Linked DNA regions of Mus musculus: regions 2 and 3 are each reported to be linked to region 1. The links are microRNA targets in miRTarBase. Many come from high-throughput screens and were not tested one by one. Region 1 holds a microRNA gene; each other region holds the end of a gene's coding sequence.
What was found. Region 1 holds the annotated microRNA mmu-miR-496a-3p (UGAGUAUUACAUGGCCAAUCUC, at 2,344-2,365, opposite strand). A microRNA usually pairs through its seed, bases 2 to 8, with sites in the 3' UTR of a target mRNA and lowers its output. Matches are read on the target gene's strand: a 7mer-m8 pairs with bases 2 to 8, a 7mer-A1 pairs with bases 2 to 7 and ends in A, and an 8mer does both.

Region 1 (4,431 bases):
ATTTCTTTCCTTTTTTTTTTTTTAAAGTAAATTCCATTAAACTAATCCAATTCCCTGTTTAGCTTCCTTGACTGTGCTGTTGGGCCATTTTCATTTCTTTTATTTCCCTTGTTATTTCCTCAAATCATTTTCATTAGGATCAATTCTTTCCCATTTAAAAATCTGAACGAAGATTTGATTCCTCAATGTGCGTTCATCTACCACAAATATTACTGCTCATAGCATCCGCCACTACTGAAGCTGCCCCTTGCGGCTGCCATGTCTACAGAGTACTGTTTCCCCAGGTCAAATGTCGCAGCTCAAATGTTGTCAAGAAAATTGGATTCTTCTGCCAATTTGTAGTCAATTGAACACATTTTCCTCCAAGCTATTCTGGTAGTTTGTGGTGTTATTTTGTGATTATTTTATCACTATTATTTAATGTAAACGGGATGAAATGCTGGTCGCCTCTATTCATTTCCTAACCCATCCAAAAATGGAGAACAAGGTTTGGTGAGCGATGAGGACGAAAGAGAAACAGACAGAGGTGTGTTGAGGGGGTGGGGTGGGAGGGGGGAAAAACAGATGGTATGTGAGCACTCCTGACCCAGTGAGTTGAGGAGAGGAAGGGGGTGGGGAGGGAAGGCTGCCATTGTCCTTGACACTGTCAAAGGACAGAGTTCATTTTGTCAAGGTATCTTCAGAGTAGAGATAGAACAGCGAGTGTGTCTGCAACTAGGGGGGCTAGGTGCTGGTGTGACAAAGAGGATTCAGGCTGAGAAGAGTCAGGGAGTAGATATTGGCATCTCTCCATTGGTTCCTGGGACTACATGTCTGGTCACGTGGCGTTCTGAGCCACACCCCTTCCTGACCATCCCCATATCCACACCTTCCATTCTAGCACATGACATTTGCAGAGACCCCAGAACTTTGTAACGTGTCCCCAATGCCACCCCAAGCAGGCTTTGATACTCAAACAAAAGTTGCCTTTGTGTGATTCAACATCAATAAAGCGAATTCACCAAGGGCAACCTCTGCTCAAGAATCAAACGTCAGCACAGGCCGAGAGTTGAGCAGGGCGCCTCTTCCCCAGGCAGCCCTGCCTCCCTCGGCTCTGGCTCCCTGACTCCCACCCTCTAGGGAGGCTGGCATTACCTCCGATGAGCCCCCAGGTCCAACTGCAAAGCAGACTAGCAATGGACTGACTTGCAGAGTTCTCTCCTGCCTACAGGTGGCCAGAGACTTGTACAGACATCCAGGCTTTGGCCAGAAACTGGTCACTCACCCAGAAGCACACGGACACCAAGTCTGAATCCCAAAGTGTTTCTCCTAGAGAAGTCCTGAGGTAGGTTTGACATAGAAGAAACCATGACTCTCTGTGTAGTAGGGTCCATCCTGCCCACCAATGAAGGCTGACCTAAAAGAGGATAACTCCCTTTCCAAGGCAGTATCCTGAGAGACCGCACAGACAAACCAGCAGCATCAGGGTACAAGGTGTCTGCACCGTCCTCTATTCTCTCTGGCTTCTGAGAGGCCTCAAAGAGGGTTCAACAAAGAAAACATGTCCAACTGCCATTCACTCAGCATCATTCGTCCTGTGTGCACCTACGAGCATTAGATGGGGTTTCTGAGCTCAAGGAACCTGTGTTCTAGAGGGTGGGAAGAGATCCACAGAGTAAGGACATTCATGCAACAACTATCATTATAAAAGCCAATGGTTTTCCAACTTTCTGGGGGAAACCAGGCACTCTCAAAATACTGAACACACATTCAGCGTGAATACATACCTTATAAGCAGCCATTAACACTCTCAGACAGACAAACGGAGGCACAGACAGGTGACAGGCTGACTCATTCAAGGTCACACCATTAGCAAGCATCGGGTGGTAATGAATGCTGCTGGGTTCTCTCCTTCCCAAGGGACACTGGAGCAGGGAAAGGACATCAGCATTCTCATGTCACTAAATGTCACTGTGAGCCACCTCTCCCCATTCACCAGCCTGACATCTGGTTCTACTTCTTAGAGATCTTCCCTGGACTGGTGAAACTGGTAAGGAATGAGTAACTGAGTGGCTTGTAGCTAGCCCCACCCCACTGGTGACTGACATTTGCTCTTCCCTACAGCATGCCTAACACTGTGATGTTTTCTCATCTGAATACAGTGCTTGACACAATGCACTATGCTCTTGATAGCCATGGCCAAACAACGATAGAGTCACCGAAATAGTTGGTGTCATTTCTGGGAAATCTTACTTTGACAACCAGGTGACATAAGTCCCAGACAGCACTTAGTACAGGGAACAATTTATTTCCTTAACCCGCACAGTCGAAGAAGCTCTCCCAGGAAGATTTTAGTGCCGAAAGGAGATTGGCCATGTAATACTCATCATAAATAAAATGAACACACCATGGGCAACCTCCATTCGAACACTTGATTTCGAGAGCTTGTGTTGATACATCTCAGGCATCTGAGGATGGAGTCCCTGAGAGTTGGGCAGATGGCTACATATTCTAGCTATATGACATATGCCATGTGGCCTAGGGGTCACTTCTTGTCTCCTGCATGTGGTGGTTAGTATCACTGACCAGAAGAAGCCACAGGAGCTTGCCACGCCCACATGGATGTGTCAGTTGTGAGCAGTTGGGAAGGCTTCTTATCGGAACACCACCAGGGAACTCAACTGCCTCTTCTAGGGAGCTCAGACTACATGGCCAGAGGGGCTGATGTAGTCATCATGGTAGATGCTGTGAATGCAATTCCTAGTTCTGACCTTGACCTTTCCCTAATATGTTTGAGGGACACATTTTACACCTTAGAAGGTGGACTTTATGTGATTTGTCAAAGTAATAAAGTGGATGACTACAGAATACTCCAGATCATTCCAAAGTATGTCCCTCCCTGAGTCCACCAGAGAACCAGGGATACACTGGGCATGGACAGCATACCTCTTACTAGATCCAACCATGGTGAACCATCCCTTCACTTACCCTGGAAAGACGCTAACACCACAGTCCCACCCCAGAAATTCCTCCAAGGCGGGATTTGGTACTGAAAAATAGGTCAACCGTGTATGATTCGTCACGAATAAAGCGAAGGCAACACGGATAACCTATCTTCAAGCACCGCACGTGGGTACCAGCATCTCTTCTCTGAAGCTGGCTTCCTCCAGGAAGTCCCCCAAGCACAGTGAACACAGCAGGTTACTGCATTGACTGTGAGAGGGCTTGAGAAGGCATCACGCACCCCAGGTCCAACCCATTCCTCCCCAACCCCTGACACCCATGGTTATCTAGTCTTGGCACCACTGCCAAGGATACAGTGTCTAAGGGTCCTTACAAGGGTCTGGTGATGGAGGTCCTAGATGCACAGATTTCATCCTGTGTTCATCATAGGAGTGGAAAGTTCCTAGCTTCATACTGAGATTGAGGCAAACACCAATGACCCTCGCCTTACATAGGCTTTGTTTCTAGGGATTTCCTGAAAAGTTCACAGAGAGGCTGACTTGGCAATACTCATTATAAAGGTAAGGTCAGCACTAAATGGCACTGACACTCAAGTCATGGCCTCGTCCCTTGGGGTGAGCAAACTTTCAGGGTGTTTTCCTAATAATAGGTTGTACTTTTTAGCTTATGATCCACTGAAAATGAGACAACAAAGAAACGAACACTAAAACTTGCTTGGTTGACAGTAAGTTCACATAGCTACCTGACGACAGTGGGCCCATGTCCATCCCAAAACCTGCCTGATGATGGTGGGTTCACGTCCACTCTGGAATCTCCCAGATGGTGGGTCTCCATGTCCATCCTAGACCTTGCCCGATGACAGTGGGTCCATGTTCACCCCAGAAGCTGGCATTGCAATTAGGCATCCTGCCAAGGGGGAAAATAACAGTGGGAAAGGGGAACTGATACCTTTAATCAAATAAATTCATGATGCAAAGGATGCCAGAGAGGGATGCAGGGAAGGTGGCAGTAGGGGGCGGAGACTGACTAAAGAACTACACAGACAATTTGGATCTTTTAAGTCAAGAAAAGAACCGCAGAGAACGTCTTTTAAAGGCTACAACTAACTCTAATAAAGAAGAAATGAAAATTACAATCGAGAAAAAAAAATGATGGGAAAACACTGGCTGGGTTATCATCTGGCAAAGTCACCAGTGCCCAATAGGAAAGTCTTAGAACCCAAAAAAAAAAAAAAAAAAAAACCAAACAAACGAGGAAGGACTGTAGTTCAGACATCAGGTATCAAGCAGGCTACACTAAGGCTATGACCAGCAGACAGCAAAGGAGAAGGAACACAGGAATGCTACCCAGGTTAACCCACTGTTCAGCTAAAGGCTCAACCCAGTAACAAGACTGCATAAGGAAAGCGCCACACATGTGTAAAAACTCTGGGGAGACAGTCACCCACAGCTCAAGCTAGTCGGTGTATAATGCACAGCTACATCTGAA
Region 2 (3,000 bases), not on the chromosome of region 1:
TCCTTCTAATAATGATACAAGCCACTTACTATCCAGGGATAAACAGTTTCCTGCCTAAACCAATTGAGAATGAATTCTGGTTTTCTTGCAGCTAGAGTCGAAACTGATGTAGCAAGGATGCATAGGCTCAAGTGATATTTCAGTTATGTGTCAGTAAAGTGCATAATAAAACATTTGGCCTTTTAGTAAACCTTTCATATTTAATATAATAGATTTTTAATACTTAGTTTTATAAAGACAAAGTCATGTTATAACATTTAAGGTAAAAGGCATAATGCACTGGTCCAGTTTGACACAACAAAATATTTTGAATATTGTGAACAACTCATTTGCTTAACAAAGCAGCAGCTATAAAACTAGAACATGTTTTGCTTCCTTCTCCTGCAGACTCGGAAAATACATTGTTGTCTTGCTTTCATTTATAATCTTCTTGAAATTCAAAAAATCTCTTTATTTATTTTTTATTGATCAAGACTAAAATACAATATTCAGTAATCTTTACCATTTTGACTTTAAAATAATATCAAAAACTAACAACATATTCTCTTAAGAAAGTATCTGTTGTAAATACAACTGACAAAATATTCAACAAAGTGTGTATAACAGTATCTTTGTATACAAGCGCGGACCATATGTTTTTCTAGAGCTATCATCGTATAATTTAACAATCATTGCATAATGGTAGATGTGTGATGGTTCTCACATAAACTATCAACTAGGATTGAAAATTGGGACATATTTTAGCTAATCATCTCTGAGTTGAGGCAGAAAGGCTTAGTTTTCAACTATCTCTTTTAAGTAGTCATGTCCTTGAAAAGACAGCATAATCAAATCTTAAAGATGCTACCAGCATTTGACCAAATTCAACTTAGGAATTTTCTTTCTTTTTTTTTTTCCTTTGAGTTTGTTTATATAGTGGATTACATTAAGGGATTTTTTAAATTTATTTTTTTTTAATTTTAATTAGGTATTTTCTTCATTTACATTTACAATGCTATCCCAAAAGTCCCCCATACCCTCCCCCCGCCACTCCCACTTTTTGGCCCTGGTGTTCCCCTGTACTGGGGCATATAAAGTTTGCACGACCAATGGGCCTCTCTTTCTACTGATGGCCGATTAGGCCATCTCCTGATACATAGGAATTTTCAAAGACACAATTTGAGAAGTGCTTAGCTTCACTGAAAATAGTATGTGGTATGGTAACACAGTTAGGTTTTAGTCACAGTACGTTCTTGTCAAAGACTGACCATGCCAATTCTTTCCCAGAAAGGGAGACTTGTTTGGTCACCATGAAGGAAGTCTATCCTTTCATTGTTTCCCTTCTAGCCAAGTCAGAGGCTCGAAATCCAAGTCTAGTGTGAAGACAGAAGCTCCACACACTGGTTCCTGCCCCATTTCCCAAGTCAACTGCTAAATAAGTCCCTCTTCAAAAGCGGCAGAAGACAGGTCAGGTCTGCATGGATTGCTTGTTTTTGTTTGTTTGTTGTTTTGTTCTTTTGAAAGTGCTATCAGCGTCCATATATATTTAAATGGACTGCCATAGAAAAAGCATAAAGTATGTAAAAATTGCACATCTAAGTCTAACCTTTTTAGGTAGATGCTGGCAATTCTATATAGTACCCTAGTAAGTATTACATGAAGTATACTTTACATGCTTGCCAGACTAATACAGCAATTCAGTCTTAGTGAAACTCTTCCACACTACCTACTATAAATTAAAATACAATGGGTAAAAATTCAAACTACAAAGCTGGGACACAAGCAATCAGAAGCTATTCTGAAACCAAAGCAATAAACAATGCCACTCTAGAGAATTTTTATTTGTGTCTCAGTCTAACTGAAAGAGCTATATAGTTAACTAAACTGTCTTCTAACCTTTCTTTTCAAAATGCTGGCTTTATTTGATTTAAGTCTAAATCTGGTGTTGTTTTTCTTTATATCAGCCCAGAATTTAGACTTCTTGATTTGTGTTTATCAGCAACAGAGTTAGTAGCGTTAAACACCGAGTGCTCAATCCCTCGAGAGCAGAGAATGCAGAAGTTGCATGTATTACTGTAAAACCATGTATTACTGTACTGAATAAAATTACGTTTTAGAAGTAAATCTTTTAGTTATATAACTTGGAAATCAGGGCCCTAAAAGGCAACTTCCTAGATAATTAAGGCTACAGTTCTAAAGCCCAGTTTTGTAAAGTTTTTATAAGACTGGGGTCATTTGAAAAACAAGGCTTACCAATTTGCCATAACAGCATTATAATAAATATCCTACCACCTTTCAAAAGACCAGCAATCTCATGGAAACAGCAGGACAAACTTGTGACTGACTCACTAAAGTGATATGGTGGCGCCCTCTGGTGGTCCCACTGAGCATGTGACCCTGATGCTGCTTATCTTGTGACAGGGGGAGAATTTTTTAAAAGTGCATTTAATACAAAGGAATGAACCATTGTGCTTCTGAGTATCTTTTTCTTCTGCCTTGGAGCACATCAGTAATGCAACATATCCCTGAGAAGTATTCCCAGGAATCAGGCTGATAGTGCAGGAATCTTGGCAAAGCTGATGATGGCAGAGATTTACATCTTGGTTCTAGACCTTAGCTGGGAGCTTTTCGCATTTTCTAGCTTGGCTTTTAAATCTAAGGGTCTCTCAAAAAACCTCACCAAGGCTGGTTCATTTAACAGGGAAGCAAGAATCTGCTCAAATGCAAACGACCACTGATGTTCTTCCCTGGGAGAGGGAAGATCTTTCTTCACACTGCTCTCTGCATTCCCTTCACTGGGTCCAGAATCACGAGCTGTACTGGCTGATGATGCCGGGCTATGGAGTTTCCTTCCAACTTCTTCCATCCTGAGCAGAAGGTTGGTTACAATAGCAATGGCTTGATATAGCGACTCTTCTTCAGGGTCCTCATGAAATAAATTATACAGGGTCTTTGAAAATTGAATAAATTGTGACTAGAAGACACAAGTTGGAAATAGAATATTTTAACATTAAACTTAGC
Region 3 (3,000 bases), not on the chromosome of region 1:
TTGAAGTCTCCAGCATTCTGAGAGACAGGAACCATGAGCTTTTCTTTGCTCTCACTTCTCATTGTCTCTTATAGAAGGTGAAGATGATGGACAGAGAAGCTCCACCGAACAAAGTGGAGAAGCCCAGGGAGAAGCAGCCAAGTCTGAAAGCTAACACTCCATTCTGACGGTCATCAACATCTGACAATGTGGCAAATATCCTGGCGATGCTCGGATGTATTCGCAGCCACGGGTGAAACGGAGGGGAAGAAAATGGCTGCGCTGCACAGCAAGACACTGTTGGTTGCCATGTCACAAGTGGGGATGGAGCCTGTGTCTGCACACAGCCTTTTCCCCACCTCTGTCATTAGCAATGGTTGAAATCACCTGGGCTGTGCTTGGATCTCCTTCGTGTATGGGTCCTTCCACTTGACCGTATAATGAAATGCTTGTAGAGAGTAGCACTGCCTAGCTGATGATTCCTGTGGCATCTGGCCCCTCATGATGTCAGAGGATTTAATTGTGTCTAATTGAAAAGAGTTGGTTGAACCCCAGAGTTTCAGTATCTCTGGCTGGAGTATTGACTCACAAAAAGAACCATCCAGAGAGCACAGTTAGCATTATGTCCCTGTGTGTGAGTGCTGTTACTTACGCCGTTTTGTATCGTACAGTACACCTGCTCTGCACTGCCCTTTGATTGCTTACATAAAACAAAATGATGTACATGACTGTGAATTTTTATACCGCTCATTTTTTAAAGGGCTGCCTTTTTAATTTCCCATAGTGTTGTGGCGTGAACAGGGCAGAACCTTCTTTTGTAAAACACAACTTTCCTCTTGATAACTGCCGAGGGTTACATCCACTAGACTCACTGAGCCCACTTTGCTTTATTATACAGGCATGTGGAAATATCCATGAATGTGAATATTGCCTGAGTTCAGTCTTAGTATCTACACAGACCAGCGTTCTGTCTTTCAATATTGATTTTATTTCCAAATAAGTACTTTCAACTGATACTTTAATTTTTCATTATAAGAATTTTTTTAAGAATCAACAAAATAAACAAAGAATGCCAGATAATGCAAAGAGCTAGAAATGTTGTGCTGTGAGGATCACTTTTCTCACACTGCTGGGTGCCACTGTTTAACGCAGGAGGACAACTTGTGAAGGAAGTGTTTTCCTCAAAGCCTGTGGGCACCCATCTCAAAAGTAAAGCCCTTGTGCTGTGGCCCCTCTCAGCCCTTTCATACCCAAATGTTGTTATGCACTTTTTAATGTTTGTAAAATTTTACTAATAATTTGTGTGAATTGCATTCAGATATAAAAATTATCACCCAACTACACTTTTACTGATGCTGTTGATGGTCTACGCTGTGTTTTGACATCACAATTCTTGTATGGGGAGTTTCTGTGGCCTGTATAACCCTCTCTGGTCAGTATTATGAAACCAACTATCTTTGGTAATAAATGAGGATCCAGTTAGATGCCCAAGGTTCACCTGGTGCATCATAGGAGGCAAATAACAGATGAAAGAAGACTTTCTCAACAGAAGAGCCTCTAAGTGTCCTGGAGCACTAGCATAGCTACAGTTCCAGGTTAAGTAGGTAGAGGTGTTTCAACAGGCAGACCTGGGTACGGTAGGAACTCGACCTGAGTCTGTAGTTACAGACAAGGTAGACAAGGAAGTCTGCCTATATCTTCCCATAGAGTGCTTTCATTACTGACTGGGAATATATGAATCTCATTTAGTCCCCAACTGGATGTTTTCCAGAAAAACAAGCACTGTTAAGTATGCCTTTCTGGATATAGAACAGTAAATACATTCAATATGAGAGGCCTTGCTTTGATCTAAGTCATTGGAGGCTAGCTAAAATTGAAACAAATCTACCTATTGATAGACTCAAAGTTGTGAACCTATGGCCTATTTGAGACAATCTCCGATAATCTATTTACAACATCCAACAGTTTCAATGTCCTTGTTTAACTATGCTGATAGCTTTCTTGTGAATAGGAAGATCATTCTTAAAGTTGTGTAATTCCACACTGGTTTCACATGCATTTTGTAAAGTGTTGAACCAGTGCTAAGACTGTGTGGAAGGGTTATACCCCTGTGTCATATACTATTACTAATGCATGCGGTGCCATGCTTGTCTTTAAATATATAAGTAGTGCTAAATGCAGAAGTCATAGGGAGGTTCTGATTTCATTTGATTTCTTACTGCTACTTGGTGTCCTGTATTCAATCCTAGAGGGATTCTGTGGCTGGTAAGGGAAAAGAGATAAACATTCTGAATTTGTCACATCACATAAATTTTAATTGGCAAAAGTGCATAGAATCTCCTGGTTTTCATTTAATACTTATCATTTGCAAGTAAATAATACTACATAGGGAATGAATCTGTAAATGCAGATGGAAGTGTGGGCAGCCCAAGGAAAGGGGTGTTAGTTAACTACCCCAGCTAAGTCACTTCAGAACCAAATGTACCATTCAGTTTCATCTTATGCCCCTTTCACAAATTACAATGTGAACATGAATAAGGACTAATTTTTGCAAAACTAAAAAGCTAATTTGAGCCCATGTTTATCAACAGAATTTTGAATCCACATTTCATAAAATTTAAGCTAATTACACAGTGTGTTTCTCTGTATGGAAAACTATAGATAATACACTCAGTCAGCTTGCATTTTACAGAGAAAGAATTTAAGTTACTAAATAGACTAGCCTTTCTTGGGTTTGTACACATGTCTTTGGGACAAAGACACATGTGGTTGAGCCTACCTTTTTTTGTTGTTGTTGTTGTTTTAATACTCAATTATAGCTTATTTTGAATTTATTTAAGACATGTAAACTGTAAATTTACATGCTATGTTCATGCTATGTATGTGAACAAATATTCTTGCTTTTTATTTAATAACCTAGAAACACAAAATTTTCCATTTTAACACATTAACAATGAATGAGAAGCTGTAGAATTTGTTGAGCTTAACTTTTTTAAACTAAGAACATTTTATGTTAGTACA

Region 2: the mRNA of Tbc1d8b is a reported target of mmu-miR-496a-3p. Seed matches in the 3' UTR shown: 7mer-A1 at 2,455-2,461.
Region 3: miRTarBase lists Pkia as a target of mmu-miR-496a-3p. Seed matches in the 3' UTR shown: 8mer at 2,784-2,791.

The regions. Positions count from the first base shown.
Region 1 is chr12:109,737,099-109,741,529 of GRCm38, reverse strand. Mir496a (microRNA 496a) reads right to left here and starts at 2,411; the gene lies at 2,333-2,411. It overlaps Mirg (miRNA containing gene), which reads right to left. Exons shown (of 8, transcript NR_028265.1): 2 at 3,723-3,849. Mir154 (microRNA 154) reads right to left here and starts at 3,097; the gene lies at 3,032-3,097. It overlaps Mir377 (microRNA 377), which reads right to left and starts at 1,020; the gene lies at 953-1,020.
Region 2 is chrX:139,751,414-139,754,413 of GRCm38, reverse strand. Tbc1d8b (TBC1 domain family, member 8B) reads right to left here. Exons shown (of 21, transcript NM_001081499.2): 21 at 196-2,953. The coding sequence ends at 2,573. Among named protein-coding and RNA genes, the nearest start is that of Ripply1, 29 kb to the left of the region's middle.
Region 3 is chr3:7,441,937-7,444,936 of GRCm38, forward strand. It overlaps Pkia (protein kinase inhibitor, alpha), which reads left to right. Exons shown (of 3, transcript NM_008862.3): 3 at 75-3,000. The coding sequence ends at 154. Among named protein-coding and RNA genes, the nearest start is that of Zc2hc1a, 60 kb to the right of the region's middle.